Pelodiscus sinensis: one gene and its partners. The protein of the gene in region 1 interacts with the protein of each later gene in a pairwise test. Links are inferred from orthologs where the notes say so. Each region holds a gene or a part of one and is shown in the gene's direction. Other genes may lie near its edges. The genes, in order: CREB3L1, FAM3C, TSPO and SLC61A1.

Evidence for each region.
Region 2: the proteins of CREB3L1 (region 1) and FAM3C interact in binary tests that used the Homo sapiens proteins (3 or more experiments, as listed by UniProt). The two-hybrid records come from large-scale screens. The link is inferred for Pelodiscus sinensis from reciprocal best matches to the Homo sapiens genes CREB3L1 and FAM3C.
Region 3: the proteins of CREB3L1 (region 1) and TSPO interact in binary tests that used the Homo sapiens proteins (3 or more experiments, as listed by UniProt). The two-hybrid records come from large-scale screens. The link is inferred for Pelodiscus sinensis from reciprocal best matches to the Homo sapiens genes CREB3L1 and TSPO.
Region 4: the proteins of CREB3L1 (region 1) and SLC61A1 interact in binary tests that used the Homo sapiens proteins (3 or more experiments, as listed by UniProt). The two-hybrid records come from large-scale screens. The link is inferred for Pelodiscus sinensis from reciprocal best matches to the Homo sapiens genes CREB3L1 and SLC61A1.

Annotation. Positions count from the first base shown.
Region 1 is NC_134714.1:83,758,622-83,766,370, forward strand, and holds the start of CREB3L1 (cyclic AMP-responsive element-binding protein 3-like protein 1), read left to right. Parts: upstream 1-4,735; 5' UTR 4,736-5,195; coding exon 5,196-5,303; intron 5,304-7,749.
Region 2 is NC_134711.1:42,371,129-42,378,702, forward strand, and holds the start of FAM3C (protein FAM3C), read left to right. Parts: upstream 1-4,570; 5' UTR 4,571-4,763; intron 4,764-4,820; exon of another isoform or gene 4,821-5,250; intron 5,251-7,574. UniProt on the Homo sapiens protein: May be involved in retinal laminar formation. Promotes epithelial to mesenchymal transition.
Region 3 is NC_134711.1:120,824,479-120,832,307, forward strand, and holds the start of TSPO (translocator protein), read left to right. Parts: upstream 1-4,826; 5' UTR 4,827-5,035; intron 5,036-5,135; exon of another isoform or gene 5,136-5,294; intron 5,295-7,829. UniProt on the Homo sapiens protein: Can bind protoporphyrin IX and may play a role in the transport of porphyrins and heme. Promotes the transport of cholesterol across mitochondrial membranes and may play a role in lipid metabolism, but its precise physiological role is controversial.
Region 4 is NW_027465863.1:45,932-53,733, reverse strand, and holds the start of SLC61A1 (molybdate-anion transporter), read left to right. Parts: upstream 1-4,794; 5' UTR 4,795-5,104; intron 5,105-7,802. Other genes in the region: nuclear receptor subfamily 1 group D member 1-like, read left to right, coding at 927-1,137, 1,722-1,918. UniProt on the Homo sapiens protein: Mediates high-affinity intracellular uptake of the rare oligo-element molybdenum.

The DNA of each region.
Region 1 (7,749 bases):
GAAAACTGTAGGTACTGGGGGATACTTATAATTTTTTTGAAGGGGTACTTTATTAAAAAAGGTTGAGAAACACTGATATACAGCACTGTCCCCAGGGGAATATGAGCTTAGAACATTTATGTTTTAGAAAAAAAGTGTAAATACAAAGCAGGATCTTTGAGCTGACAGACTTTTTCTCCTGAGACATTTTTAATCTCTAGGATGGAGAAGTCCCTGTTTGAATGTGCTGAAGTGTTTTTCCTTTGCAATTCAGACAAACAAGTCACGTTTACTTTGCTTGACCTTTTCTGATGACACGCCTACCTGGTGAATACAAACAGTAGCTCTGCCTCATACATGCACCCCGCCTGTATGAAAAGGGTGATTCTGAAAGGAGATTTCCTTAAACTAACTTAGGTGAAAAACTGGATCAGAGAGGCTTTATGCAATTCAGAGTAATTTGGTTTTAAAAATCATGGTGTGAAGTTTAGTGCTTATAAAAGTAACATGAGGGTTTGGTTAGTGAGGGCAGGAACAGTGCAAGCTTCCCCTATAATAGCTCTACCAGTGCACCTCAGTCTTGACACTAGCACTGCTGTTTCAGCCCTCAGTTCTGCTACTACCACCATCCCCAGTTTCACTGATACACGTTACCCATGAACAACCCTAATCCTTAGGGAGAAGGGCAGGGGAAAGAGCCCTCTTCCTAGGGCTTGTAAACATTATGGAGAAGATTAACCCTCCAGAGGTCGATCTTCTAGTGTTCAGTTTAGTGGATCTAGTGTAGACCACCCAATCAAATGCTGAGGGCAGCCCCCACCAGCATCCTGTGCTCCTCATTCTGAGAGGAGTAAGGGAAGCCTGGACAGGAGTGTGTGAGCCCATTGGCCTCCTGCAGTTTATCATAGAATCATAGAATACAAGGACTGGAAGGGACTTCGAGAGGTCATCGAGTCCAGTCCCCTGCTCCCATGGCAGGACCAAATACTGTCTAGACCAGTGGTCCCCAACCTTTTTAGGTTGTCGGGCGCCAGGGGGCGTGGCCGTTTGCCCGCCGGGCGCCAGGGGGCGGGGACCGGGGGCGCCCCCCCATCCACGCGCCCGGGGGCGGGGCCCCACCTACCGCGCGCCCGGGGGCGGGGTCCCCCCATAGCTGCATGCCCGGGGGCAGGGCCCCCTCTAAGGGTCGCGCGCCCGGGGCCGGCGCTCCCCGCCACCCCCACCCTCCCGCCGAGTCCCGCGCGCCCGAGGCCAGCGCTCCTTCCCCCCCCCCCGCCGAGTGCTGCGCACCCGAGGCCGCCGCTCCTGCTCCTCCCCCCCCCCGCCAAGTGCCGCGCGCCCGAGGCCGGCGCTCCTGCTCCCCCCCCCCCCGCCGAGTGCCGCGCGCCCGGGACCGGCATTCCCCCCCCTCCTGCCGAGTGCCGCGCGCCCGGGACCGGCGTTCCCCCCCCTCCTGCCGAGTGCCGCGCGCCCGGGACTGGCGCTCCCCCCGCCGCGCGCCCGGGGCCGGCGCTCCCCCCGCCGCCTCCCGCCGAGTGCCGCGCGCCCGGCGCTCCCCCCGCAAGCGCCCATGCGCCATGTGCCCGGGGCCAGGCCAGCCCCGAGCACCTGGCGGGCGCATTGAAATGCCCCCGCGGGCGCCATGGCGCCCGCGGGCACCGTGTTGGGGACCACTGGTCTAGACCATCCCTGAGAGACATTTATCTAACCTACTCTTAAATATCTCCACAGATGGGGATTCCACAACCTCCCTGGGCAATTTATTCCAGTGTTTGACTACCCTGACAGTTAGGAACTTTTTCCTAATGTCCAACCTAAACCTCCCTTGCTGCAGTTTAAGCCCATTGCTTTTTGTTCTATCCTCAGAGGCCAAGATGAACAAATTTTCTCCCTCCTCCTTATGACACCCTTTTAGACACTTGAAAACGGCTATCCTGTCCCCCCTCAATCTTCTCTATTCTAAACTAAACAAACCCAAATCTTTCAGCCTTCCTTCATAGGTCATGTTCTCTAGACCTTTAATCATTCTTGTTGCTCTTTAATCATTCTTGTTTAGATGCTGCAGTGGCTCAGCTTAAGGTAAGCCGAATCCAGCTATGCATTTTGCTGGTCTAGTGTAGTCCAGTGTGCTTGTCGCTGGACTACTCATTCTTTTAGGCAGCACCAGAAGTGATGAGGAAATAAATGTCAGTCTTCTGAGAGCAAATGGGTGCCCTGGGAAGAAGGTCAGAGAAGCCCTAAGGAAACTCATACCACTGCAAGAGGAGAATAGATATTTCCAGCTTCCTTGGGAAGGATCGAGTGGAGCCCTTTTCTCCTAGCTTTTGAACCACATGAGCAGACCTCTAAAACCATCAAGAAGGGACTCTTTCACCAGACAAAGTGTAATGTAGCCATACTGCCCATGTGTAGCCCTGTGTCCCCACATTAGAGAGCTGGATCTGAGGTGGCTCTGTTACCAGAGACTATGGACGGGGAGTGTAAGGTTTTTGTTCTGTTTTGTTTTGTTCTGTTTCCATTGTCTCCTTGTAGTGGTTATGAAGTACGCACTGTGGACATTGCAAGTTTCTTCCTTTTTTCCTGTGTTAAACAATTAGTCCCAAATACCTTCTTGTTTTTGTTCTTGATGTAAGTGACAAGCTGAAAGTCTTCTGGAATCCTAGCCCAATTCTCTGCTCACTATTTGTGTCTATGATTTTCATTTACATTAAGGCCACTTTACTCCTCATGGGCAGCAGAAAGGGATTGGGAAAGTGAGAGCAAATGTAATTTAAAGTGGCTATAAGCCCTGGTTCTCGCTCACACTATGGAGCATGTCTACACTGGGGAGTTATTTCAAGATAACTCCCCTTATTTCAAAATAACAAGGCGAGCATCCACGCTACCAACCCTGTCATTTTGAAATAATGGGCTTGTTATTTCAAAATAATAACTCCTGCTTGTGAAAAGGAATAAGCATATTTTGAAACAGTTATTTCAGGAGTTATTATTTCGAAATAACTTATTTTGAAATAACCTAGTAGTGTAGACATAGGCTATATGTGCAGAGAATTTGCACATGGGGACTAGTGTGAGGGACATTCTCTGGTCTTTAGGATTTAGGATTAGCCCTGAGACCTGGTGGAATCAAGAAAAGAGTGTGACTATGAACCTTCAGTTGTTGATGGCATCTCAAAGTCTGACACAAACGCAAGTGTCCCCAAAGCGCCTGTCTCCTACTGGTCAATTTCATCATTTTAAATTATTCTTGTAGTTGGAAGTTGGCAGCCAAGTGTCCTTTGGGAGAAATGCACCTTCATTCTCTCTGAAGAATTGGTTCCCCAGACATAGATGAAGGATTCTTTGGGCTACACTGGCTGAGCCATGAGGGTAGGGATTGAGGGATACCAGAACTGCTTCAACAGGATTATTCTAAGAGGTTTTCCTAAGTGTTCATCAGAGTGAATATCAGAGGGGATAGGGATTTATAATCCTGTTTATTTGAAGACATATAATCTTCCTGAAGCTCTTAAATGGTGCCTGAATCTTTAATTACAGAGCTGCAAGATGGGATGCTGCTAACAGGCCCCCCTGCACTGACTTTTGCTGAGGGTAATTGGCAATAAGTAGTCACATGAACATTAAGCTGACGCTAGGCTTGGCTATCTTAGGATAAAATATTGGCAGATGTTTAACAGTGAACTTGCTTTGGCAGTCAGTAAATGTGGCCACCCCTGTTCTAAGGTAATGAAAGGAATACCTAGGGCAGGGCTACTCAACACGTGGCCCATGAGCTGCATGTGGCCCACGGTCCATTTGTTTGCAGCCCATGATGTGGTTTGGGTTTACGTGGTGCTCAACATGTGGCCTGCGGGTGGGAGCCAAAGCAAAAAAATAATCAATATAGTGGTTTTCCGTTGATATGCATTTTAGCATTTAAATTCCTGGACTGTCATTGCTCATTAAAAGTGCTGTCACATGGGTGGAAATCTGGTAAATATTGCGTTTTATTAATATCAGCAGAACCAACTTAAATGGGGCCTGTGTGTTGTGTAGTCTTGCCTTAATCTTTGTATTCATGCCCATCAGTGTGAAAGAAGCTATTTGTATATATATGTGCATGTATATGCAACCACACTTAAGTTGCGGCCCTTGGCATGTTCTGTGAGTATTATTGTGGCCCCCGGGGCTTCCAAAGTTGAGTAGCCCTGACCTAGGGTGTTGGAAATACACTACTGGCTCAGAAGAGTGCCACCTAGTGTATCATCCCCATAATAGTGGTAGGGAACCTTGTGCTGTAGCAATTGGTATCCCTCAGTAGGAGATGCTCTCTGGGAGTACAGAGCCCAGTGCCCTAATGTGGTGCTGCAGAAGTTGTCCTTGTCAGAGTCATTGGGATGTCCAGGAGAAGTTCTAGATTGTGCTGGGGACACACATTAGCACTGGGCCCTGCAAAGGCGGAGCAGTCAGCCGTGGCCTGGCTGCCACTCTTGCATGCAATGGTCTTTCACAGCTTTCTCCCTCTTACATCTCCCCACAATGGCTTCTGTCTGTGTTGTCCCCCAGGCTGTCTGGGGCCTGATAGCTGCTCAGATCCTCCACGAGCCCAGTTCCCTGCCCTGGCTCTGGGTAGGATGCGCCCACTGTCCCTAGCTCTGTGCTGTCAGTGTGAGAGCAAGGGAGGAGCAGGGCATTGCACCAGAGCTTCCTTAAGAGGCTGATCAAGGAGGGGAGTGCTGCCTCGCAGAACCTTTAATATTCATGAGCTAGGGGGCGTGATGTCCAGGCCGGCCAGGCGGCTGAGCCTGGGGATCCTCGGCGGAGTGTGAAAGTGACAGCTGGGCAGAGGGGAGTCCCGGCGGAGTGCACCGCCCCGCCTTCCTCCTGCACGGCTCCAGGAGGCAGCCCGGGCCCCTGCCCGCGCCCGGGGGGTTCGGATCTGCCCAGCCCCAGGCGTGGCACCTTTGCCCCCCTGTCCCGTCCTCAGCCGTCGGGGGACCCCCAGCAGCCCCCGCCTCTCCGGGGAGCCCCTGTGCCCCCGCGCCCTATGGATTGCCGCCGTCCCTTGGGAGGAGGAGCCATGTGCAGTCGGTGCCCGGGGCCCTGCCATCGGCTGCACCGGGCGGCGCGGGAGTAACTCCGAGCCTGGCGGGTCTGCGGAGGGAGCGAGGACGCCCCGGCTCCGGCCCGCCGCGCTGGCGGGAGGGCGGCTCTGCGCCGCACCTAACCCCGGCACCATGGACAGTATCCTGGAGCCCTTCCCCTCCGAGCGCCTCTTCCCCGGAGGCGGCTCCGGCTTCCTGGACCTGGGCGACCTGAACGAAGCGGATTTCCTCAGCAATGTGGTAAGGGCGCCGGCCGGCGGTGGGCGGGGGCTGCCTGGGCTCGTCCTGCTTGTCCTGGGCTCCCCGCCAAACGGCTCCTACTCGTGCCGGGAGCCTGGGCAGCGCAGCGCCCCTTTTCCTGCACCTGGCTGCAGTCCTGAGCGCCCCCTGGGCCTCAAAGCTCAGCCAGCTCAAGTCCTCTGGAGCTCCCCCCCCCCCCACACACACACAACTCCTGGCACCTCCTCTAGGGGATCGGTCGTCTCAGCCCCTCTAGTAAGATCCATGCCATTGTTTTTGAAACCGTGTCTAATAGGGATCCCGCAGCAGGTCCTGGGGTGTAATTCCGTGGCATAATTAACTCATCCCACTCTAACTGCACTGGAGAGTGGAGACCCTAAAGCTGTGGGGGCAGCCCTTCTGCTGCTATTTCCCTTGCTTACCTGCTTTTTGTAAAATGACCTGGGGGTGAAACATCTGTTGCTTGGCTAACACAGTAGCGATTTACTTTAGGGGGAGGACGAGTGAACTAGGACTAGATCTATTTAGTGTGTCAAAAGAGAGTATTTGTCTTTAAGAAGATTGTCCAGACTTTGTGTACTCATGTCATGTAACTCACATGTACAGTAGTTCCATAGGAGGTCGTTATCCCAGATGAGGAATTCAAACTTTGTTGTTTGTGAGCAAATGTAGCTTTGGATTATCTGGGGTTATCGTCCCAGTAAAAGATAAAACAGTGACACAGAATCTGGTTTGTTCTAAGTGTAACATGTTTTATTTACATGTACACCAGTCCTGGAACAGAGATGGTCACAAACAGCATGGAAGTAATACCTCCTTTCAGGCCTCTCCATGGCCTGTCTCAAGAATTGACTCCAGTTAGAGACAAAGGATATGTCAACATCATGGAGGGACTGCAGCACATGTACACATGCCTAAATTACCTTTGATCTAGCTAACTCAATCAATATCAGTGAATTCCAGCAGCAAGGGACCCTGATGATATATTGGAGTGACTAACCTGTACTGCAGCAAGTCTTCTATAAGTTATTTGAGCTAAATAGAGCACATCTAGCCTACTGTTTATGAGTGGAGACGGCATACCTCTAATTGCAGTGTAGACATACCCTTAGGTTGAGAGTAAATTCTTCTTCTGCTTACACAGCTCATTCTACCTAGAATCTTTGCATGCCAAAACTAACCCACGCACAGCAGGTCTTCTCAAGACAGAACATTTGTTCTCAACCTAAGACCTGGTCTGCATACATTTGAAAGTTTTACTTGTGTAATTATTTTAATTAGGAGTGGGATCTCTGCCGCCCCCTCAGTAATACTGGTAAAAGCCTTTGGATGGGATGAAGTTATTCTAATATAAAAGTCCCTTGCAGCAAATTAGCTTATTTTTATATAAGAATAATATAAATCATTATATGTATTTTTATGCCACTATATCTGGAGCCGCATTAGGGGAGTTGTATAACTTAACTATATCAAATAGACTATACCTACTGCCTCATCCAGTGATACCCACCATGACATGATATTTACAAATGTGTACTGACCATATGCATTGTGTTAATTTCCTGACTGATTAAATTCCATCTCTGTTCTGGCAGTGACTGTAAAACTGACCTGAGGAGTCATCCATTTTCATTATTTCTCAGTGACTCTAGATTTATTATGCTCAATTGACAAGTAAAAACTTTTTTTTCCATTTACACCACAGACTACCCTGGGGATCTGAGACTCTTTGTTCTTGTGCAGGATCAACAATAAAGATTCTGTAATCTTAGTGCAGATAACAAATCTGTTGATGATACCAAAGCCAGAATGTACTGGAATCTAATTCACCCTTTGTGTAGTGGATCTGCAGGGAAAACTGCCATAAAAAGGAGCAAAGATTAACTTTAGGAAATCCATCAAATCTTAATGGGACGGGATCTGTTGATTAAGAAGATCTCATTTTTACATAGTTGCTTTTCAGAGTATTGTACTTAACATCAAAGCACTAGGGTTGCATGGTAATCCTTAAAACTGTCAATGATTTTTCTTTGGAGGGAGAGATGAGGTTCAATATGGAGACTCTTCATGTAATGCTCAGCAAATGTAGTTCCCTCTAAAGAAGTTGAGTGAGCATTGAGTTCACTAAGAACCCTTTCCTGCAACAGTAACCTTCTTTAGTTAATCATCTTGTCACTTAAGCAGTAGTTTATAAAATCTAAGTCTGTTACAAGATGAAATAATTGGATCATAGGTCTAAGGTGCATCTTGGAATTAATAAATTAATGTGTTTGAAAAGGGATGTTTGAAAGAGAACAGTGTTATTTGTCAGAGGATGACTGATATCTAGTTTAAAAAGCATAAACATGGCTGGGTCTAATCAGTGCTTGGATGGGTACACACAAGGGAAAAGGTGTCCATGGAAAATGTTCCTTTTGTTCACTGAGATGAGCATATTACTAATGAC
Region 2 (7,574 bases), on another chromosome or scaffold:
TCCTATAGAAGAATTTTTTTTTAAAAGCAGCAGTATAAGGCTTGGGGATAGCAAGTGATGGAGAGGAGGAGAATAGAGGGGGCGGGGCTGTAGATCTTGGCTTGCTCTGTCATTTAAAAAGTGATCTTGGGTGTAAAAAGGTTGGAGACCACTGCTCTAAATCAAATACTAATACTTCCCATCACTGTTTGAGAATTTAAATAAACAGAAATCAGGTTCCATTTTATGATTCTTGCAGCAGCTGTAGAGCTACATGTGCATATTGAGGGTGAGAGGCAGTAGGGCAAGGGTGTTGGTGTCCAGGGGAGCGGTCCTGGAGTAATTGTATCTGTGTGAGGTGTGTCTAGACTACAGGGTTTTGTCAACAAAACTATACCTGCGTCTACATTACCACTGAGTTCTGTCAACAGTAAGTCGACAGAATGCGGCTGTTTTGTCGACGGCGGTAAACCTCATTCTTCGAGGAATAATGCCTTTTGTCAACAAAAGGTGCTATTGCATCCACACTGTGCTTTTTCAAAAGAGAGCGTCTAGACTCTCTGTCAAAAAAGTGGCTTGCTTTGTTGACAGAACTGGATGTAGTCTAGATGCTCTTTGTTGACAGAGCCTCTGTCGACAAAAGCCTGTAGTCTAGACGTACCCTGAGGGGGCAGGGGTTCTCTCCTTCTTCACCCCATTCTCTCCTTTTATCTCTTTCCCCCATGGAGTGAAAAGCACCCCGCATGTTTCCAGTGCCAAATAGCTGGGCATTAGGGCCGTGTCCAGACTCAGGGGTTTTTTCGGGAAAAGTAGCCTTTTCCCGAAAAAACTTCCCCTGCGTCCAGACTCAAGCCGCGTTCTTTCGAAATTATTTCGAAAGAACGCGGCTTTTCTTTCGATGGCGGTAAACCTCATTTCACGAGGAAGAACGCCTTCTTTCGAAAGTTCCTCTTTCGAAAGAAGGCGTTCTTCAATATAAAGAGGCCGTCTTCGAAAGAGAGCATCCAGACTCGCTGGGTGCTCTCTTTCGAAAAAGCGGATTTCTCTTTCAAAAGATCCGCCTGCAGTCTAGACGCGATCTTTCGAAAGAGGCTCTTTCGAAAGATGCTTTCGAAAGAGCCTCTTTCGAAAGAAGCCTGCAGTCTAGACATAGCCTAGGGGTTGAGGCCCCATCTCCAATATATTACAGCCTCAGTGCACTCAGCCCCAGTGCTTGGGGCTCCAGGCAGCCAGGCAGTGTGGTGGCTTTGCTCCCCATTCCAGTGCTTAGGTGGCCTGGCAGCATTGTCAGTCCTAGTGTTTAGGCAGCCAACCCTAGACAAGCGCAGTCCTAGCTGCTCAAAGTTGCCACGGGAGGTATGCTAGCCAGCCTCTTGGGAACAGCAAGAGGGCCTGGCCTCGGACAGAGTGAAGATGGGGTCACAGTAGACTGCTTGGGGAGGCACAGCCTCCCCCTGCCTACAATACCCACCACCAATGCCTGGATGCCTTAAGCCCCAGCTGCAGCCATGCAGCAGAAGTCCTGAGTCTGGGTGCCCAGAGACAGAAGCCACCAGAGGCAGAAGCCCTGAGCCCGAGCACTCTTAAGCCCTTGCTGCAACTACAGCAGTGGCACCCAAGCTCAGGCATCTGCAGCCCTGAGCCCAACTCCGAGGCTGCTGCAGTGCAGAAGTGAGGATGTGCACTTCTGCGCTGCCTCTGGAGGTGGTAAGATCTCTCCACCAAGAGCAGACTAGCAGTTAGGAGCTCCTGGCTGGGGCGCTTCCAGCCACATGGGGAGATCAGATTTCACAGAGAAGGACTTATTTCAAAGTTCATGACATGTTTTTCATTGCCATTGAAGTGGGTGGACCTTAGTCATGAAGGATGGTGAGGTAAAAAAACAGGCTAAGGAAACTTTTATAAACATGATTGTACCAAAGTAGAAAATACGCTTTCAAAAATGGATGTATGAGGCATAACTTTGCATGTAGGAAGTGGTGGTGGGGAGTTGCAGGTGTGATTCCACTCCATAAATGGCTCACAAATGCACTAATTATGTTCAGGGACCCAAGCAGGCCTTATTTTAAGAAAAAAGAAAAAACTAACAACCTGATCCCAAATAAGTCACATTCAGGAGTATTCTGGGTATATTGATGCTAGCCTAGTTTATTCTCTATAGGCTAGGACAGGGGTGGGCAAAAAGGCCTCTGCGGGCCAGATCCAGCCCACAAAGCAAGTGGATCCGGCCCACGGAGGCCCTGCTGCTCCCCCCGTCCCCAAGCCAATTAGGACCTGGGGCGGGGGAGTGCCTGAAGCCTTCTTTGCACTGCCCCTGCCCTGGCTTACTTGGCTGGGGGTGCGGGAGCACGCGAAGCCTCTTCCTACCCTGTGAGTAGTGCGTGGCGCTTAGAAGTGCCACGCACTGCTCGCGGGTGGGGGGAGAGTGGAGGAGGCTTCACGCACTCCTCAGCCCCCAGGCCAATCAGAGCCTGGGGGTGGGGGAGCTGCGTGAAGCTTCCTTCACTCTACCCCAGCCCTGCGAGTAGTCCGCGGCACTTCAGAGTGCCACATTTGCCTTTCAGGGTGGGAGGAGGCTTCCCATGCTCCTCTGCCCCCAGGCACTGATTGGCCAGAGGGTGGGGGAGCGTGCCAAGTCTCTTCCAGGACATGAGTGTCTAGTGGGAAGCGGGGGGCAAAGGGGCTCCCCCACCCCCAGACCAATCATGGTCTGAGGGTGGGGTAGCCCTGCCCTTTCCTATTTAGGCCCCATCCCTTCTGGGGTGACCCGGGGCTACTTAAAAAAGTGGCCCCCCAGGCAAAAATTATTGCCCGCCATTGGGCTAGGAAGAGGTCTCAACCAAGTGTGGGTTCATACTATTTTGGTTTTGAATAAATGTTTTTGTCCCCATCCTAGCAGTACCAGGTTTACTGTGGTGCCATCATGTGGAGCTCACACACCAAAGGGCCCATAACAACTATATGGGGGCCCACAAAAAGTTGATCTGGCCCTGTGGAGGGGATGTCAGTATGAGGGGGAAGAGGCCTGCTGGTTGTGGTGTCATTGTCCATGGGAAGGTCTGTGGGGAGGGGTGCTTTAGCAGGGCACTGGTGTGGTGGGAAAGGACCCAGTGGCAGGGAGGTTGGGGAGCTGGAAGAGATGCAGCGCTGTGGGAGGGAGTGTTGATGTGTGGGGGAAGGGCTGTGGGGGATGAGATACTGGTGTAGGTGGGAAGGGTTGTGGGAAGTGGATGTCAGTGTGTGGTGGAGGGGCTGAAGGGAGAGGAGTGGACAAGGGAGGGAGTATTGGTGATGAGGGAGGGATTGTGAGGAGGAGGGTGTGCAATGGGGGAAGTGTTGGGTGTATGGGGCTGAGGCTGTGGGGAGGAGTGGGCGATGGAGGGGTGTTGGTGTCTGGGCAAGGAGTTCCGGAGAGGAGCAGTTGGTGTATGGGGAAGGGTTGCCAGGAGCAGTTGTGCATAGAAGGAGTGATGATGTGCAGGGGAGAGGCTTCAGGGAATGGGTGTGCAATGGAAGAGGTGTCAGTGTACAGGGAAGGAATGGTGGGGAAAGGAGTGGACAAGAGAGGAGATGTGGTGGGGAGTGTACAACGGAGGAAGTGTTGGGTATATGGGGAAGGGGCGGTGGGGAGAGGAGTGGGATGTTGGTGTGTGGGAAACAGGTTATGGGGAGGAAGTGTTGACATGTGGGGGAGGGGTTGTTCATGGAGGGGGTGATGATGTGCTGGGAAGGGCTTCAGTGAAGGAGTGTGCAATGGAAGGGGTGTCAGTGTGTGGGCTAGGGGGTGTGAGGAGGGAGTGGGGTCGATGTGCAGAGGAAGGACTGTTAGGGGCAGTGTTGGTGATGGGGGTGCAAGAGAGGGGGTGCTGGTGATGGGGGCGAGGGGCGGTGTGTAGAGAAGGGGCAGTGGGGACGGAGTGGGCAATGGAGGAGATCTAATTAAGTATTATTATTATCATGTTATGATATGGCTTGTGCGCGAGTATTCTCGCTCACACTCTAGGACCGCGCTATGGGCTACTATGCTGATTCACCGCTTGGATATGGGTATCAGCACATAGTTGCGTACTGCCTGGCTGGTAGACACACTCACGCAGTGTGAGCATGTCTACCAGCCAGGCAGTATGCAACTACGTAGTAGTGCTGAATATTTTCCTTTTATAAACATACGATTCGTGACAGTGTTGCCCTTTGTCTAGCTTTCATCTTCCTCCTGTCTCTTTTAAGGTAAGGAACAATGAGCAGCTTTATCAAAAAAGGCTGGCCGCCTTACATTCAGAATTTTCTAATTTTGTTTAGGATCTTGATATCCATAATGAGCAATGCAGAAAATGAAGTTTTTGAAAAATAAAAAATGGATAAAAGCTGCGCACTAATGTAAAATATACCATGTAATGTGGATTGTCAGCAATAAACTCCCCATATCGTGGGGGTTGGTTTTTTTTTTTTTTTTTTTTTCTTGGTCTACACATTTTTATCACGTGTGTCCGGTATTTTCATTGAAACCATCTGGCAACCCTAGGTGGGCGAGGGGCGGGGCGGGCAATGGAGGGGATCGGGCAGGAGCTGCGGGGGGAGGGCCCCGAGCAGGCCGTGGAGCGGAGGCGGCCGGCGCTAGCACAGACTCCGGCCCGGGTCCGCCAGCGCTAGGGGGCGGACGAGCACCTCCCGCCCGTGCGGCCGCAGCGGCAGAACCGCTGGGCTTCCTGCTCCACCGCCGCCCTCTGAGCTCTCGTCAAGCCGCGTCCGCAGGGGCCGGGCGGGCAGCCGGAGCGGAGGCGCAGGTAAGGGGCTCCCGGCTCTCTCCAGCTCGGGCCTTCCGGGCTGGGCCCCCGCCGCCGCGTCGCACACCCGGCTCAGGGACGCTGCGCAGCGGCGTGTCCCGGCCCCGTGCCCCGGAGCGCCTGGCCAGGCTGTGCCCCGCGCCCCGCCCTTCGCTCACCCCGGCGCTCTGAGGTCTCCGCTCCTCCCGCCGGGAGCCCCGAGCTTCCCTGCACCGCCGCCTCCCTTCCCCTGCCGCCCGCAGAGCTCTCCTCGCGCGCGTTTCGTGGCCGAGCCAGCGGCTCTTCTCCTGCCCCCTTGGCTGCCTCTCCGGCCAGCAGCACAAACCGCCCTTCTAGAGTCTCCAGCCGCCAGCCCCGGACCATTCCTGTTTTGACCCTCTCCTGGGGTTGTGTGCGCTTTGTGCGGCTTCCCTCGTTTCCTCCTTGGGGCAGCTGCCAGAAAAATACACGTACCTGAAAGGGAAAAAATTGGGCTATTCTGCACCAGGTCTGTATCTCCCCACCCGCATCGTGGGGAGGGGGGAGAATCCAAGAGGCTAAACGTGACTGTAAACTTTAAGCTTGCATAGAACCAAAAGTCGGGACAGGATGGAAATGAGCGTTTCAGTGCTGGCTCTAAGCCACTGCATTAGAGGTGAAGTATTGTAGAAAGTAGTTCAGGTGTGAAGAGCTGGATGCCTCTCAAACTAGAGCTGTGGATGAATTCTTTACAGAGGAGATAAAGATCTACAGTGTGCAAATGCCTGGTAACTTTTGACTGGGTATGCTTACATTGATTTAGGTCTTAAGTATTTATAGCTGTAAACTGAAATGAGCTTTTCTGATTTTCACCTTACTTGCTGGCAGCTGTTGTTTGTACAAAACTACTTAAAAAGTATAATTAGCCCTTCAGTTTCAGTTTCGAATTGTGTATCTTTGCTTATCTCTTCACATCTTGGTGCTGTCATTTATAGAAATGGATTTCTAACGTTTTATCCTAGATACATAAGTAAGCATAATTATTTTTCTTCTCAGCTCAACTTTCTTCATATATAACTTTGTAGTCTGATGCGCTCAATTATCTAACAGTGAAAAGCTTTAGTTACCCTTAAAGACTTAATTTTACCAGTATAACTATGTCTATTAGTGGGTTAACTTTTTTTTAACCAGTGTCACTTTGATAAAAGTCCTATTGTGGAAGCAGTTATACAAATATATCATACTACTATAGTTATTTCTTTTCTTGTATGGGAATAGCAAAAACCAACATAAAGTGCCATTATATTAATATAATTGTGTTCACACTAAGGGCACAGCACTGTTAACTGCTTTCTAATATAGACACACCCTTGTGCTCTTGGAAAGGAGGAAATACTAAGGTAAAGAAGAAAAAGTAGCATTGTATTAAACATTCTGTAACTGATCATGGAAATCATCAGTGGAATAGTTATATATGGTTAACCTGACATTCAACAAACACTGAAGACATTACTGGAGGGACCAAACTTGCATTGGTAGGGGTATGCTCTAAGGAACCAATTCACAGTTGGTATATCCTTACAGATCTCGTTGCAGGAGCTGGGTCTAAATGACCTAAACTCTTTGTTCTTCAGTTTTTCTACATCTGTGATTGTGAAGTAGAAAGGTAAATATAGATAATCTTGTTTTGGCATCTGTCACTATAATACCTATCTGCTACTAGATAGCGTAAAGTCCTGTCTGTCTTGGGACCGAGAGCAGCCTCTATCCGTGATGGAACTGGGCGCCTGCAGGAAGGAGCTGCTCCAGTGTCCAGAGCCTGGGTGCCCCCGTTAATCGGCTAAATGAGATTTTACATCCCTACTTCCCAGAAGCAGCAACATCTCTTTACTGAGGATGTAAAATCCCATTTAATTGGTTAATCAATTGAACTGTGTGTGTGTGTGGGGGGGGGAAATCAAGGATTACAGGAATGCCCCATACCCTCTGCCATAGGCTGAGGCTGCTCCAACCCAGCCAGAGTTGCTCCTGCATGCAACTGCCCCTTCCCTGCCCCCCTGCAGGCAGGGGTTGCACCAGCCAGGATACCAGAGCAGCCCTTGCCTGCGCAGGCCAGGGTGCCCCACTGGCAGGGATTGCTTCAGAATCACAATCAGAACAGCCCCTACCTGTAGGGTGCCTGGGCCCACTATGGACAGAGTCTGCTTCATGGGATGTCGGAGCAGCCCCTCCCCGTGGTGGGCCCCGGTGACCCACAGGCAGGGGCTGCTCCAGAGTCCCAGCCAGAACAGCCAATGCCTGCCAGGCCTGCCAGAGGCAGGAGCTGTGCTGGAGCAGCTCCTGTTCATGGCAGGCCGTTCACAGGGCTGGTACTGCTCCAGTTCATCTGGTTAAACCTTCACATCCCTAATCTCTACTATTTCTTGGTGGAACTATTGCCCAGGAACTGCAGCCAATGGGAGCTGCAGGGGCAGTGAATATGGGCAAAGGCAACACACACAGCAGCCTAGCCATGTCTCTACTTAGGAGCAGCAGGACTTGTCACCATTTCCAGGGAGCCACTGCAGGAGATTGCTGTCTGAATCCAGCACCCCCAAACCTTTTTGCAACCCAATCCTCAGTCCTGAGCCTCCTCCCACACCCGAACTCCCATCCTCTTAGTTAACTGGAAATTTTTATTTACCAGCACCCACTGTTCCCCCAACGTGCAAGAAAACAAAGCTCATAGTTGGATCAAAGTTTTTGACAATAAAAGCTTTTTGGTTTCCATCTGGCCCCTTCCTTTCATTGAGCATCTCTGCCATTTCCAAGTTTCCTGTTACTGTTTCTCCCTCCTCACTGACCAGTGAGCCT
Region 3 (7,829 bases), on another chromosome or scaffold:
TTCCCTGAGGTTTTTCTAAATCCCAATAGTTGTTAACAAGGGACCAGGGATTATTAACAGTTACATTTACATCAGTGTTATTTATAAGACTAATTATGTATCTAAAAGTTTTAACACTACTACTTAATAATACCGCTAAACAATTTCAGATAACAATACTTACATTTAACAGACACACAAACTACAACAACAACAACATATTTGGTATTCGTTATGTTTGGTATACGTTACGCTCTACAGGAACTTGTTTGGTTCGGTGAGCGGGAGGTGGCCCTCGGGTGATCAGTCCTCGGACCTGGCTCATATTCTGCCATCCAATGTTTATTCGGGATTCCTCAATTTGATACAGGAGGGGAAGCTGTTTTATAGAGAGAGCTTTTGTGTGCTTTTTGTGATAGGCTAGCAGACCCTGTCTGTTAAGTGACAGGAGTAAGGGGGTGAGATGGTTTCCTCTGTTTTTCCTTTTCTGCCTTATCAGGCATGGCACGGTCAGCACAACCAGCACGAACTTTACGTGAACTTTTGGGTCTGGTTTTGGTTCCTGTTCGTCGCTGATCTTTAAGTTACATAGTGTAAGGGTTTTTCATCAAGGGGAAGTTGACCTTTTGCTTGGATGGCAATACGCGCGAGAGGCCCGGCCAGCAAAGAGCCTGCTTCCACACCAGCAGAGCCATCAGCAGCCAGGGCCAGGTTCAATATAGGGTTCTTCTTCATCCAGCCAACATAGAACTGGCTTGAGGTCCCACCAAGTAACATGGGAAATTCACACACCACTCCTGTACTCTTCTAAGAGGCAATACTTCCCCACTCGCAAGCACAGAGTCCAAGTGTAGAAAAGAAACTTAATAAAAGGAGGGAAGTAATTTGGCATTAACTTGGGAAAATCACCACAAACAATTAATAAACAAAACCATGAGTAACAGTCCCGCTCAAAGTAGATCGGGCAGTGTCCTTTTCCTCTCAGGTTCTTAAGTCCAGCAATCTAAATGTCCCCTTCACATGTCCAACCCTTCTTTGCACCCCACTCACAGTTACTACCCTTGGTCAGTGCAGACCTAGAGTTCAGAGGTGCATTCACCGAGTTCAGCTCCCATCCCAAGTGGGGGGAAGTAAAGAAGTATCTTGTTCACTCCGCTGGTCACTCACCATCCACCTGCTCACTGCTCTCTATCACAACCTTGATGGTCATTCATCTCACCACCTATCTGTCATCACCCTGCTAGCTGCTCATTGAAACTTTCAGTCACCACCCTGCTAACTGCTCCTTGTGGTGCTATCATTCTACTGGCCACTCTTTGCATCTTCCCTATTGGGTCTCAATCACCAGGGCTTGACGAATGCACTCACCTGCTCGCCCGTGGCAAGTAGATTTTACCAGCTGGCAAGTGCAGGGGCGGGCTGGCCGAAGCCTGCACTACAGGCGGCGCGGCCCCATCCGATCCGCTGGCCGGCGGAGGAGCACAGTGCTGCTGGGAAGGGGGAAGTGTGGAGATTCTTCCCACTGGGCTACCTGCATGCAGCTCCGGCACGAGAAGGTGGGGCAGGATGCTAGGACGCTGGCGTGACCTGTCCCTGCTGATTTTAAAGGGCTGCGGCAGCTCAGCTCTGGCCGCGTGTCTCTGGGAGCTGGCTGCGGCGCGCGGCACAGCCAGGGCCCGCCCCACCGACTCCAGTCCTGCCACGGCCCCAGACCCCCTTTGTCTCCACATCGCCTGTTCCCCTGCACCCTGGACCTCCTGCTCTCCCTCTTCCCTGTGACTCTTTGGCTCTGTGCCGACCTTACACCCCACACACTGCTCCCCCCGATCCCTGCCCCCCAGCTCTGTGCTGCCCATTTCCTGCACTGCCCCTAGACCACGATCCCTCTGCCCCTCCCATTCTTTGCGTCCCATTCCCCGTGCCCCTGCATTTGAAGACTCTTTCACTAAGGCTGTGTCTAGACTGCAGGGTTTTTTCAAAAAAAGTTGCCTTTTTTTGAAAAACTTCACCTGCGTCTAGACTACAGCTGTGTTCTTTTGAAATTAAATCAAAAGAATGTGGCTTTTCTTTCAACAGTGGTACTCCTCATTTCACGAGGAAGAACGCCTTTTTTCGAAAGTGCTCTTTCGAAAAAAGGCATTGTTGAATGCAAACAGGGCTTTTTTGAAAGAGAGCAGCCAGACTGCCTGGGTGCTCTCTTTCAAAAAAGCGGCTCACTTTTTCGAAAGAAGAGGTTGCAGTCTAGACGCTGTCTTTCGAAAGAGGCTTGTAGTCTAGACGTACCCTAAGTGTATGTCCCCTTTAGTTTGGGACAATTTAGCACAGATCTACTTTTCTGTATTCCCACAAAATTACAAACATTGGTCACCATATTTCAGCTGTCCCTGCATTTAATACAAACATAGCTGGTAGTGAGTCACGAATTAAATTGAGTACAATGAGTAAAATACCATTCTATCTGCTGAATATCTAATAGGGATGTTAGAGTTTAACCAGTTAAACTCCTGGCCACCAACAGGAGCCCGCAGGTCTGGCAAGCGCCAGCAGCATGCGGGGCCAGCAGACATGGGCATCCTCTGGTTCCAGGAGCTCACTGTGTAACCGACTGAATTTTAGTTGATTACATAGTGTTTTTTTTAATTACATTCCTAATATCTAACACCTAAGCAAAGCAGGAGCAAATTGTATTTACATAGACACACCCAGGGTCTTGCACAAGAGGTGGTTTTTGCGCAAAAAGGAGCCATCTACACAGCTCCTTTTTGGGCAAAAATGACCCCTAATTAATTATGCAAATGAAGCATAGTGATATGCTAATCTGCACTTCATTTGCATAGGCTTTTGCGCAAGACCAGGTGCAGTATAGACTTAGCCATAGAATGTAGGGGTTCTTTTAGGGTCTGGTTTATGTTGGCTTTGTTTTGAAATGGGATTGGCTTGATTTTTCACTTATTGTGAAAGTTGGACACTTATTCACAGTGTGTGAAAGTTGGCAAGCCGACTCAATTAATTATCAGGAGATTAATGGAGATTTTCGTGTTGGGTGTCGAACATATAAGAGCACGTGTAAAGTTTCACAAATGTTACAAGTAACAATTACAAGTACAGCAGATAGAAGAAGTCTTATAACCATCTGGGGGCCCCTATTGCCCAGGCTCTAGGGCTGTCCCTAGAGGGACCCAGGGCTACCACCCTGCCCTATGCCCCACCCCATTTCACTTCCCTCCCCCCCAAGCCTGCCCCTACTCCATCCCTGCACAGCCTTTAGGTTTGCCAGATGGTTTCAACAAAAATACTGGACGCACTTGACATTACATCACAATTTACATTACAATGTTATTTAGAAAATATGGGACATTTTTATTTTGTCATTTATATTTTTTCAGTTTGTTTCCCAAATAGAAAGCTCAAATACTGGACTGTCCGGTTCAAAACCAGACACCTGGCAACCCTACCAGCCTTTGCCTTCACTGCATCCCTCCCCTATGCAACCTGAGCTGGAGGGTTACCAGGTGCAGGGTGGCAGCAGGGGTTAGCCTCCTTCCATACTCACCACAGCAGCGGGAAGTGGAACTCCATGGTCCCAGTCCGCTCCCCCTAACCCTACATCATGCAGTGGAGCGAGGCCAGGATGCCCGCCTCCTGCTGCCATGGTGAAGCAGAGGGTAGCAGGCTGGGAGATGGCGGTGGGATGAAGTAGGTTGTGGGGTCACTTCAGCTCCTACTGCCATGGTGAGCGCAGGGAGGCCCAGACCCCTGCTGTCACTGCATGTCAGACCCCCAATACTCTTCTAAGCCACCCTGGGCCCACCACGGATGAGATGGGGGACTGTCTCATGGTCCATAGGATGGCTGAGGCAGCTGCTGCAGGGCCCCCCAAAGTGCAGAGCCTGGAGTGGCTGCCCCCAAACTATTCTATGGATGGAACAACTCTGCTGGACTCCACCAATATCAGGGCCAGATCTCTTCCCTGGCCCCATCTGTCACCCCTGTGGGCCTCTCTTTGCATGTCCCTTAGCTCCACCAAATAGCCCCCCGCATGCCTCCCCAACCCTCACTTGATCTGTGCCCTGGGCAGCAGGCAGCTGCTCCTGGGCCCCCTGCACTCCCTCACCAGCTGCTGCAGCCTGGTTGGCTGTAAGGAATGGGGCCAGCAATGACAGGCTGACTGCTGCATTTGCAGAGAAAAGGGGGAGTAGGGGCATGCACCCCCCACCCCCGCAGGTGACTCAGAGTGGACTTCTTCTGAGGTTTGAGTGAGTGCCAGGAGGGGGAGGAGGATCTGCCCTCTCTGGCTTCAGCCCCAGGGCAGCCTGCCTCCTGGACTTCAAAGTTTGAGCTCCTCATTCCTGTCTCATCCCCATCCCAGAGCCCTTACCCCCTTGGCCCCAACCCTCTGCTCAAGGCTTGAGCCCCTCCCAGACCCCAAACCCGTCATTCTCAGCCCTCCCTCACTCCTGGCCCATTCTGGACCTCACCAAGAATTATACAAACCTGTCCCCCTAACCACTGCAGTCTGCGCTGCTTCAGTGGGAAGAAGCATTTTTCTGCTCTAGACTGAAGCAAAGGCAGCCCTGTGATGAGTTCAATTGCTCCTCCAAATAGAGGTGCACGATATTACTCCCCTTCCCCCCATTTTTAGTGTAAGCTTAGAGCACTTGCTGTCTAACCTCCCACCCAGACCCAGCAGAAATCGTGACTGTAGGCAGCCGAGCGTGGCTTAGACCCCTTTGCATCAAAATCAAGCCTCTTATTAAAAGTCAAACATGGGGCTTATTATTTTCACTTTCATTTTTAAAACAGGAATTCTTCCTTTTATTTTTTTAACCCACCACGCCTCCGCCGCCCGGAACACGCACTGCAGGAAGGGAAGAACGAGGTCTGGAACTGCCCAGGAGCTGCTGCCACTTTGAGCGAGCGCCCTTTTGCCCGCGACAGTGTGAACAGAAGGGGCTCGGGATCTGCGCGTGAAATCTCCGCGCACTCAGCCAGGGTCGCTGCAAACGCCGCCGCCTCCTCCTGCAGCGGGACAGACTGGAGCCAAACAACACAAATTGTGAGTCTAAGACGCTCCCTAACCCTCCCCCCCCCGTGCGCGCTGGAGCTGTGCAGGGCCGCGCCCCGCTCCCCCCCAAGCACACGAGGCAGAGGGTGCAGCCAGCTCCGCCCCCGGTTGCCCTGCTGCTCCAGCTCCCGCCGCTCCGACGCGCGTAGGAGGGACACGCGCGCTCAAGCCGCACCCCTGCTGGGTCCATAGAGCAGCGCCCTCGGCCTGTCCTCTGCTCTGCTCCTTGCCGAACTCCGGGCTGCAGCAGGTGAGTGAGTCTCCCCCTGCCTTCCCCGGGCACGAGCTTCTGCTTGAGACTCTCCAGCGATTCCCTATTAAGGCGGCGGGAGGAGGGAACTGCTAGTTTCCAAGGGGAACGGCGGGTCTCTCAGAAACCACAGTTGCGCCAGGAGGAAGCAGGGAGAGTCAGCGGTGTCACTCTATGGGCCTGGATCTAGCAGCAGGGGCGGAGGAGCACTTTCTCCACCACATCTCGTGGCCGAGGAGACATTGGGAATAGCACGAGGGGGTTAGCCCCTGGGTGCCACACCGAGTGCTCGGAAATAGCAACCGGGAGGCGGTGTTTTGTAGTGCCACACATTGCCAGGCAGCGTTGGGACTGCAGGAACAGCCCTGTCATGCAGTGCCTGATAGGCTATGTCTAGACTGCAAGCCTCTTTCGAAAGAGAGCGTCTAGACTGCACGTGGAACTTTCGAAAAAGTGGCTTGCTTTTTTGAAAGAAAGCACCCAGTGAGTCTGGATGCTCTCTTTCGAAGAAGCCCTATTTACATTCAAGAACGCCTTCTTTCGAAAGAGGAACTTTCGAAAGAAGGCGTTCTTCCTCGTGAAATGAGGTTTACCGCCGTCGAAAGAAAAGCCACGTTCTTTCGATTTAATTTCGAAAGAACGCGGCTGTAGTCTAGACGCAGGTGAGGTTTTTTTCAAAAAAAGGCTACTTTTTTGAAAAAACCCCTGAGTCTGGACACAGCCATAGTGAAAGAGCCAAGGAGTGGGATTCCTAGCCTCGGTCCAGTCTTAACCTCGGTTAGTTCATCTGTAAAACACACAGTATCATTTAAGAGGCACTTTATTATTATTAATACAAAATGCTATACTGTACGGTGTATGCTAATAAAGTTGCAGATAGATCAGTAGTTAATTTATAGGGGGCTTGCGATTTGTCACTAGCATTTGACATTTTGCAGTTAAAATGTTAAAGAAAGTTGTTTCCTTTTCTCCCACGTTTATGTGAACACAGAAAGAAAACATTTGGGAAGGCTCGCTGACTCTAGGAAAGAATGGGAAATAGTGCTTAGTAACCTTTCCTTATGTAATACAGGCTTCTGCTGGTGGAATTTGGACTGTAGCAAAGTATCTCCACAAGTGTATTTATTCCAGTCTAAATGCCCATGATACCTGGAGCTGACCCATGAAGCACAGTTAGTGGGAGGTGTCAAACAGGCAAATAGCCAAAAGATTTACTAAACCAGCCTTTAGTGCTAAACCCCATAGTAATTTAAAGCTGCTCTACCATTGTAGAACCCCTGTGCAGTTTGGGTCCATTCATTCAGCGGCAATGAGCCAGACCCTAGCTAGTGAACTATTACACATTTAACAAAACTAATAGCATTTACTCCTGTTCCTTCTTGGCCCAGTTGTATCTCATTTGGCTTCATAGGGGCCTTGAACTTTATCCTCACATCCAGAATTTCATGTGGTCAATATTTACTTTTTTTCCCCAGTGAGGTCGAGATAGTTTTGAGTATGATTTTAAACTAGTAGCATTTACCCGTCAATAAATCTCACAACTGGCTATATTTATTGCAAGCTTATTCTACCTGTTAGTAAGAGGGGGAAAAGAATATGCTTGTTTTTGCTCTTTTCTGTGACACTATGTAATGAAATAGAGTAAATTCATGAAAGGCTAAAGTGAAACAGACTTTAGTTAAGTGATCCCTAACTGAAGATTATAAGAAAAAAGTATAAAAGTCTGCATTTGCACTTGTGTAATCAGTGGGCGTTACTTTGGTGTTCTGAAACAACATCAAACAGTGAGTCACATTTCATGGAGCCATTTAATAAAAGGAATTGGGTCATTTAACTCACTGGAGTGAAAATGAACCAGAATAGCAAACAATACAGCTGGACCTTCAGAGACCAAAGAGTCATTACGGGAAAAAAGTTACTTTACCGCCAGCACCTTCCTCTATGCAATCCCATTATGTGAAATCTCAGTCTTCCCTTCCATCTTATTCAGCATTGGAGAAGCCAGTGAGACAATGTGGACTGAACTGACAACAGAACAGAGACACCACACAGCTCTTCTCTTGTTTTTTCCCCTGCAAGAGGTATAAAGAGCAATGCTCCCCTCTGAGTTGAGATACATTGGATGAAGAACAGCACTCAGGCCTAACTGAGGCAATGCTGGTGGGAAGAGACATGCTCTGAATAACTCACTTCTCTTAGCATCCCCCATTATCAAGGGCATCTACTCTCAGGTTAAGCCAAGCTCAGCCAGAGCTGTCTCTTGGGTAGGGCAAATTGGGGAGACTGTTCCAGGGCCTGCACATTTAGGGGCCCCCATTTGCCAGTGTGATTGGTCCCGAAAGACAAAGCCATCACGTCCACAGGTCCCACCATCTTGTTGGCAGTTGAGAGACAGTGCTCAATTTGGTCACCTGCGTTTCATTGCAGTGAGTCCCCCATCCTGACTGGCGTCCTAAGGCACTGTAGCACTATGGTTAAGAATATCCCTGTAATAGATGCCAGGAACTGCCAGCAGCAGTATGTGGCCTAGCACCA
Region 4 (7,802 bases), on another chromosome or scaffold:
TTTCCCCCCCTCAACAAGTTTTGCTGCTATTTCTTTTGTGGGGGGGGGAAGGGGGCGTGAGGGTTTTTCAAAAATCAAAAGGGGGGCATGATGCCAAAAAGTTTGGGAAGCACTGCCCTAGATGATCACAACCATCCCTTCTGGCCCTGAAATCTGTGAATCTGTGTGTGTGTGTGTGTGTGTGTGTGTGTCTCCACTGCCCTCTTCTGGAAGGAGCGAGCCCTGGTTTTCTGTGTGTGCACCCCTTGCGGTATGGAATCAGAACTAGTGTACTGTGTGTCATAGCCTCCATACTGCTAACAGCCATGGGAGATTCCCCTCTAGCTCTGGGCTTTTGCAACAGGAGGATTCAGATGAATTGTGCTCCTGCTGTTTAAGTGGCCATGACATGCCAGGCACAGATTCTGTCACATGTGGGAAACCTGGTAGCCTGACAGCACCTGTAGAGAAGGTTCATCAGACCCGCGCCACTGACTTGAATTACCCTTGTTCTGGGGCTATTTAATTTTCCACCCAGGCCCCTCAACTCCCATAGGAACCCCAAGAGGGAGAAAGTGACTCCAGATCAGGGTCAGGAGACTGAATGCATCTAAAGATCCAGTGGCTAGAACGTTGAACTGGGGCTTAGGACAAGCTGCTTTTCCCTGCTTGGTGCCTCAGTTTCCCTATCTGTCAGATGGGGATAATGATCCTGACGTGCCCTGAGGTAAGGGCTAGGTACTTTATGATTGTCATTGCCTGAGCTGAGCGATCCAGTCATAGCAACGGGATGGGAAGAGCTTCCTGGCTTATTGAATCCAGTCCCCAGGCAACCTGGCTTAGAATTATGTAACACAATTGAGGACCCTTGGCACCCCCAGACTCTAAACCCTGTACTCTGCCTGGCCACTAGAGCTGCAGGCTCAGCTCTGATCCTCTTCCTGCAGGTGCTGATGGTGCGGTTCTCCTCCCTCTTCAACCCCAAGGAGAAGGTGGTGACGTTCCTGAGCGGCGAGACCTACTCGCTCTGCAGCCTGCGCACCATGGGCATGGGCTGCCTGCTGGACGCCATGTTCGAGTTCAGCGAGAAGCTCAGCTCCTTGGGGCTGGATGCCCAGGAAATGGCGCTCTTCATGGCCGTCGTCCTGGTCTCAGCAGGTGGGTGCGAGCCCTCGGGCCAGCGGGGGGATCTCTGAGCGGCCAGCCAGGCAGGTGAAGTCAGTGACGATCCCCCTGCAAAGCTCCTCCCTGGTGCCTCAGGCCGTGTGTCCTGTTGTTCACTAGGTTTGGCGCCTGTGGAAAGACAATGACGGACTGGCAGTCCCCAGTGCCCCTCTGGGGTCCCACGCCCCGGTGCATGCAGAAAGCGGATGCACATGGAGCTTACCCTGCCTGGGCCTTCCAGATTCGCCAGGGAACAGGACTGACCGAGCTGTACAGGACAGCGTCCTCCTAGTATTTCAACTGGAGGGTCATTGCCCTTTCCATGTTAGAGGTGGGGAAAGACCTAACTGGGCACCAGCTAAACACTTTGTCCAACCTGGCTTTAAACATCTCATCCCTTCTTTCTGGAGACTGTACCCCAGGCTGAGATCTGGGCATTAGGAAGCATCTCCTTGCTGTTTATGAGCTGCTGTGTGTGTCAGATGCTGTCACAGAGGGAGATTCCCCTGCAGTGGGGACCAGTTGATTTTTTGGGGGAGCAGATTGGATATTAATGTCATGGCTCATCTGGTTCATAGATCGCTCCGGCATCTCAGACGTGGATGCCGTGGAAATCCTTCAGGAGACCCTCATCCGGGCCCTGCGGACTCTGGTGACAAAGAAGCACCCTGATGACTCCACTCTCTTCCCCAAACTCCTCCTGCGCCTTCCTGATTTGCGAACCCTCAACAACCAGCACTCGGAGAAGCTCCTGGCCTTCCGGATTGATCCTTAAACCCACCGGAGATGCCCACCCTCTGAGCCTAGGGGGAAAAGGATCAAGAACAATCGCCAGACCCAGCACCTCGGGCTGTGTTTCTTTTGAAGATGAGGAAAGAGGGCTCTGGTGCTGACGGGCAGCACGTGGCCTGTCGGAGCTGGGCTCTGCCAGCACACCCCCCCAGTCTGGGGTGATTGGGTTGAGGAGGAGAGAGCACACCTCCCACACGGCGCTCTCTGCCGCACAGCCAGGCCCGGAGACCGTAGCAAACATGCATCCGAACCGACCGCACTGACACAGTGTAGTTACGTGTACGTGTAGAGAACGCTCTGTGTCGTTCTGAGGGTCTAGTCTGTATATAAGGAGCCTGGACATGTACATACAGCGCATAGGTAGCTCTCGGGGAACGGCTCACCCCACTTGTGTTTGAGTTGAGGACCTAGTTCCTTCTTAGGGTGCATGCTCATTTATCCCATTCCCCTCTGTTGCCACCCTCCCTCCACACCACCAGCCCTCTCCTATGGAGAAAACATCCCAGGTGGCTTGTGGAGCTTTGCTCTGTGAACAGCATAGGATAGACTGGACCAGGAAATTATCTGCAGAAGCACTTGTCTGGCCCATTTCCACCTGCTGGGGAGGGGCAGGGGCACGTCTCTCCCCACCTCCGCCCTTTGCTGTGTGGTTTGTCTTGTCTGGTGTTTTTATAAAATGTCTCACGCCATCAGGGCTTCCAGGGAGCTTTTGGCAAAGGCTGACTAGTGATGGCTCAGCTAGGGGACAGTCTCTCAGAGGGGAGAGGCTGAAGGAGGCAGATCTCGAGTGCAAGCAGGGGATCTAGACTGTCATAGGAGAAAGGTTTTAATTGACACCTTCCTTCCTCCCCCCCCCCCCCCCCCCCCGTTGGGGCCCCAGGGATGTCTCCACCTTGGCTATTTCATAAAGGATTAATTCAGCCCTCAGGAGAGGTTGATGAAACCCGCCTGCTTCTTTTCCCTGCCCACGCACATCCCCCTTGGGCAGCATCGCTTTGTACATTCCTTCCTGCCAAGCCATGTGACCCATGATTTCCCTCCCGGAGCCTGGAATAGAATTCACCATGCATGCGCTAACCACCAGCCAGTTCCATTAAAGAAAGCACTGGCTCCATTTTCCTTTGCTCCCATTCAGCTCTGCCTTGCTCTAACCAATAGACCCTGGCTTCCCTTCCCCACCCATGGCCTAACCACTAGACCCCATTCCCCTCCCAGAACCACATTCTGAATCTCATTGCCCCAGCCATTTAGACTACTCTCCCACTGCCGAAGAGAATGGCTCGAACTGTGCGGGGCAGGTGGCACATTAGACCACTGTAAGGTGAAGACAAATCCAGCAACCGAACATGGGGCCCAAAGCTCCCTAGCTTTGCATTTCAATACATATCAAATCCTAATGGCCCCTGAGGAGGGAGAACTAGCACATCAGAAGGGAGCACTTTGTGGTTTGTGTTTGGGTCTTTGCCAAGCTCAGAACATTTGCAGGGAGAGGGGGAGCCGGGCTGTGCTTCAGCTCCTGGCCGTGTGGCTCTGTTTTTTGTTTGTTTTTTGTTTGTGTTTTTAAAAGAGCAGCAAAACTTTGCACTTTTCTGAAAAATATAAATGTACAGAAAATAAACTACCCCCTATCCCAACTTGGAGCATATCAGCAAAGGGATGCCCTCCAGGGGCATGGCTGCTAAAAGCCCTAGTGCCTAGCAGTGGAAGAAAAGAAACGGTTTATTTTTGGTCTAATATTGAAGTGCAATAATTAAAATAAAGATTTGCTTAACATTGAGTGAAGTGTCCACATGTTGGTATTGTTGCAATTCCAGGGGCACCCTTCACCAAGACCAGCTTCCCCTTGCACTGGGTGCTGTGCAAACCCCACCTCCTGAAGTCATGAGAATCTATGACAATTTTCATTTTTCAAGGAGGATAGGGCTATAATTCAAAATGATCTGCACCAACTGGAGAAATGGTCTGAGATAAATAAGATAAGTTCGTTAAGGACAAATGGAAAGTGCTCCACTTAGGGCGCAAACAATCAGTTTCTCCCATACAAAATGTGAAATCATTGTTTAGGAAGCAGTCCTGGCAGAAACAGATCTAGGGGTCATAGTGGAGCACAAGTTAAATATGAGTCAACAGCATGACACTATTGCAACAAAAAAAAGCAAACACTTCTGGGAAAGAGAAGTGTTGTGAGCGGGACATGAGAAGTCATTCTTCCGCTCTACTCTGCACTGATTAGGCCTCAGTTGGAGTATTGTGTCCAGTTCTGGGCACCACATTTCAAGAAATCTGTGGAGAAATTGGAGATGATCCAGAGAGGAGCAACAAGAATGATTAAAGGTCTAGAGAACATGACCTGGGGGCAGGGGGGAAGAATTGGGCTTGTGTCGTTTGGAAAGGAGAAGACTGAGGGGAGGTGATAGAGGTTTTCAGGTATTTTAAATGGTGTCACAAGGGATCCGGGGAATTGTTCTCCTTGGCCTCTGAGGACAGAACAAGGAGGAAGGGGCTTAAACTGCAGCAAGGGAGGTTGAGGCTGGACATTAGGAGAAAGTCCTGCCTGTCGGGGTTAAACACTGGCCTACGTAGCGGAGGGGGCTGTGGCATCTCGTCGCTGGGGACATTTAAGGGCAGGTCGGATGCACCTGCCAGGGAGGGTCTGGCCCAGGGCTCCGGGCCGCGGTCGGTCTGGGTGCACACGCAGCCCGCGGGCGGGACCCTTGGAGCATGGGCTCCCCGGCGGGCTGAGCGCCGTCAGGCCAAGCGCCGGGCTGGCTACAGGCGGGTCCAGGGTGTCCAGCCCCCCAGGAAGGAGCACTGGGTCAGTGTGTGAGAGAAGGTATTTGCATATATTTGCATATATATTTGCATGCAGATGCAACCACACTTCAGTGGGGGCCCTGGGCACGTGCTGTCTGTGTCACTGCGGGCCTCGCGTCACGTGCCCAACGGCCGGGTGGGAGGGGGCGGAGTCTCAGAGCCGGAGTCCGGCGGACGCAGCAGGCGCGGACCCAAGGCAGTTTCCCCCCGTCACGTGACCCCAAAACATGGCGGCGCCCTGGGCTACTTCCAACGGAGGCCGGCGAGGTGTCCCGGAAGCGGATCGCTCGGGCCGGGGCGCGTGTGTGTAACGCGGGCGAGCGACCCCCCCTCCCCTCCCGAGCGAGCGGAGCAGGTGAGGAGCCTTGCGGGGGGTGGGGGCCGTGGGGGGGAGGGAGAGGAGTTGGGGGTGGGCGGGTTTGGGGACTGGGGGAGGCCGTGGGGGGAGGGGAGCTGGGGGGGTGGAGGCCGTGGGGGGGTGTTTGGGGACTGGGGGAGGCCGTGGGGGGAGGGGAGCTGGGGGGGTGGAGGCCGTGGGGGGATGTTTGGGGACTGGGGGAGGCCGTGGGGGGAGGGGAGCTGGGGGGGTGGAGGCCGTGGGGGGGTGTTTGGGGACTGGGGGAGGCCGTGGGGGGAGGGGAGCTGGGGGGGTGGAGGCCGTGGGGGGGTGTTTGGGGACTGGGGGAGGCCATGGGGGGAGGGGAGCTGGGGGGGTGGAGGCCGTGGGGGGGTGTTTGGGGACTGGGGGAGGCCATGGGGGGAGGGGAGCTGGGGGGGTGGAGGCCGTGGGGGGATGTTTGGGGACTGGGGGAGGCCGTGGGGGGAGGGGAGCTGGGGGGGTGGAGGCCGTGGGGGGGTGTTTGGGGACTGGGGGAGGCCATGGGGGGAGGGGAGCTGGGGGGGTGGAGGCCGTGGGGGGGTGTTTGGGGACTGGGGGAGGCCATGGGGGGAGGGGAGCTGGGGGGGTGGAGGCCGTGGGGGGTGTTTGGGGACTGGGGGAGGCCATGGGGGGAGGGGAGCGGTGGTGGGGTTTGGGGACTGGGGGAGGCAGTGAGGGGGGAGCTGGTGGAGGCTGTGCGGGAGGGGTGGGGGCAGGTGCAGACTGGAAGAGGGGAGGCTCTTGAATCATTTGGGGGTTCTGGGGAAGGAGAGGCTCTAGGAGGAGTGGGAGGCTGGTGGGGGAGGGGAAGCAAGAGGGGGCTTAGGGAGCAGTGAGGGTTGAGAGGGGGGGTTCAAGTGGGAGTTTTCAGGGGCGAGGGAGGCTCAGGCTTTGGGGGAGTGGTGTACTTGGAGAGAGCAGAGCTAGGGGGTGCTTCTTGTTAGGATGCAGAATGAGTTGGGGAGGGTCTGAGGCAAGCCCTTGTGGGGGGTGGGGGAAGCCTGTGTAGCTGTGAGTGGAGGGTTGGAATGGGAAAGACATGCTATGAGAGGCCTGTGTGTGGTGTGTCTGAGCAAGGTGGAGCTGCCTGCCAGTGGGAGCTGAGCCCATAATTCATCTGGTTCCCCCGCTCAGGTTTGCCTTTTCCCAAGGGGGTCTGGAGAGATGTGGAGGTGATTCATCATCTCCCTTACCAAGCCCAATATGTACAGTGCTCTCTTGTGATGAAATATTTTCTGCCATTAACAGGGCTTCACTTGCCACTTAGACCATGTTTTCAGCAGAATGTGTTTCTATTCTAGTGTGTTTCTCCAGGGGACAGGAATCAACGTGATGATGATTCCACTAGAATCTTATTGGATACACTGGCCCCCTAGCAATCTCAGGCTCTTTCACATTTGGTTTGTCCTCTATTTTATCTTTGAGCTCCAGTGGGAGAGTGCTGGTCAGAGGAAAGCTTGGATCTCCTGCACGAGTTTGCAAGAGGTTCTCTCAGTAGAGCCCTGTGCACATACACACTTTGTATTCACATCTGTATCTGCAAAAACGAGCCGCAGATATCCACAAATTTGCCAGGCTCCAGTTCTCGGACCAGAACACAGACGTCCTCATCACAGGTTGCCATTCTCAGCCCATAGGCTGAACAGAGAATGGAGTATGCAGGCTAACCTGCTCTGTCACTCTGATCAGAAGAATCTCTTCAGGGTAGGTTGGAGGCATGTGGGCAGGGCAACACAGGTGATGCTAGCTGTGCTGCTCTTCCTCTGACTAAACTGAATGTTTACCTCAGTTTTCAGTCTAGTATTTTTCACCATTGCTTTACAAACAACAAGATCTCTGCCTTTTAAAGAGCTACAAAGAAACCCAGTAAGAGCTTTTGAAGCATGATTTAGAATGAGGTGAAGGAAGACACAGGTGTGAGGGGTGGCATTATCAATGCTATACCCAGATTAATGGAAGAGAGCACTCCAGGCACTTTCTGGCAATCTTGTCACTTCTAAGAGACCTAAAGGAAGCCACTCCATGGTAATCTGGGTGTGAGGGTTGGCTTTAAAACTGGTAGTGCCTTTTTGTAGTTTTTCCTGTTAAAACATGCCAAGTGGGAAGTTAAAAATCTCCAATTCAAGTGCCCCTACTGCATGGGTTCCCAAACTGGGGTGTGTGCCCCCTGGGGGGACTTGAGGAAATTCCGGTGTGTGGGGGGGTGCGAGGTGACCGCCCGCACTCCCCCCCCCCCCCCCCCCCCCACCGGTGAATCTTCCCCCTAAGTTTTGCTGCTATTTTTGTTTTTTGGCCCCGGTCAGTTCGTGGGGGTTTTTTTTCCCCTCAACAAGTTGTGCTGCTATTTGGGGTGGGGGGTGAGGGTTTCTCAAATCAAAAAGGGGGCGTGATGCCAAAAAGTTTGGGAACCACTGACCTACTGGATCATTCTTTCAGGAACCCAACCACAGAGCTACAAATATCACAGAGCAGATCACATGATTTTTTTTTCTTTTCACTGAGGCTATTATCTTCCCATATGACCTAAGGCTAGGAAAACAGGATATGATTTTTTTCCTGGCATTGGTTCCATGCATTAGCTACTCTGGCCAACAGTCTGTGGGTACCCAAAACTTTGCATCCATTCACAGTGAAGAAGTATCAAAGATCATGAAACTAACTGTACCATCTGTGG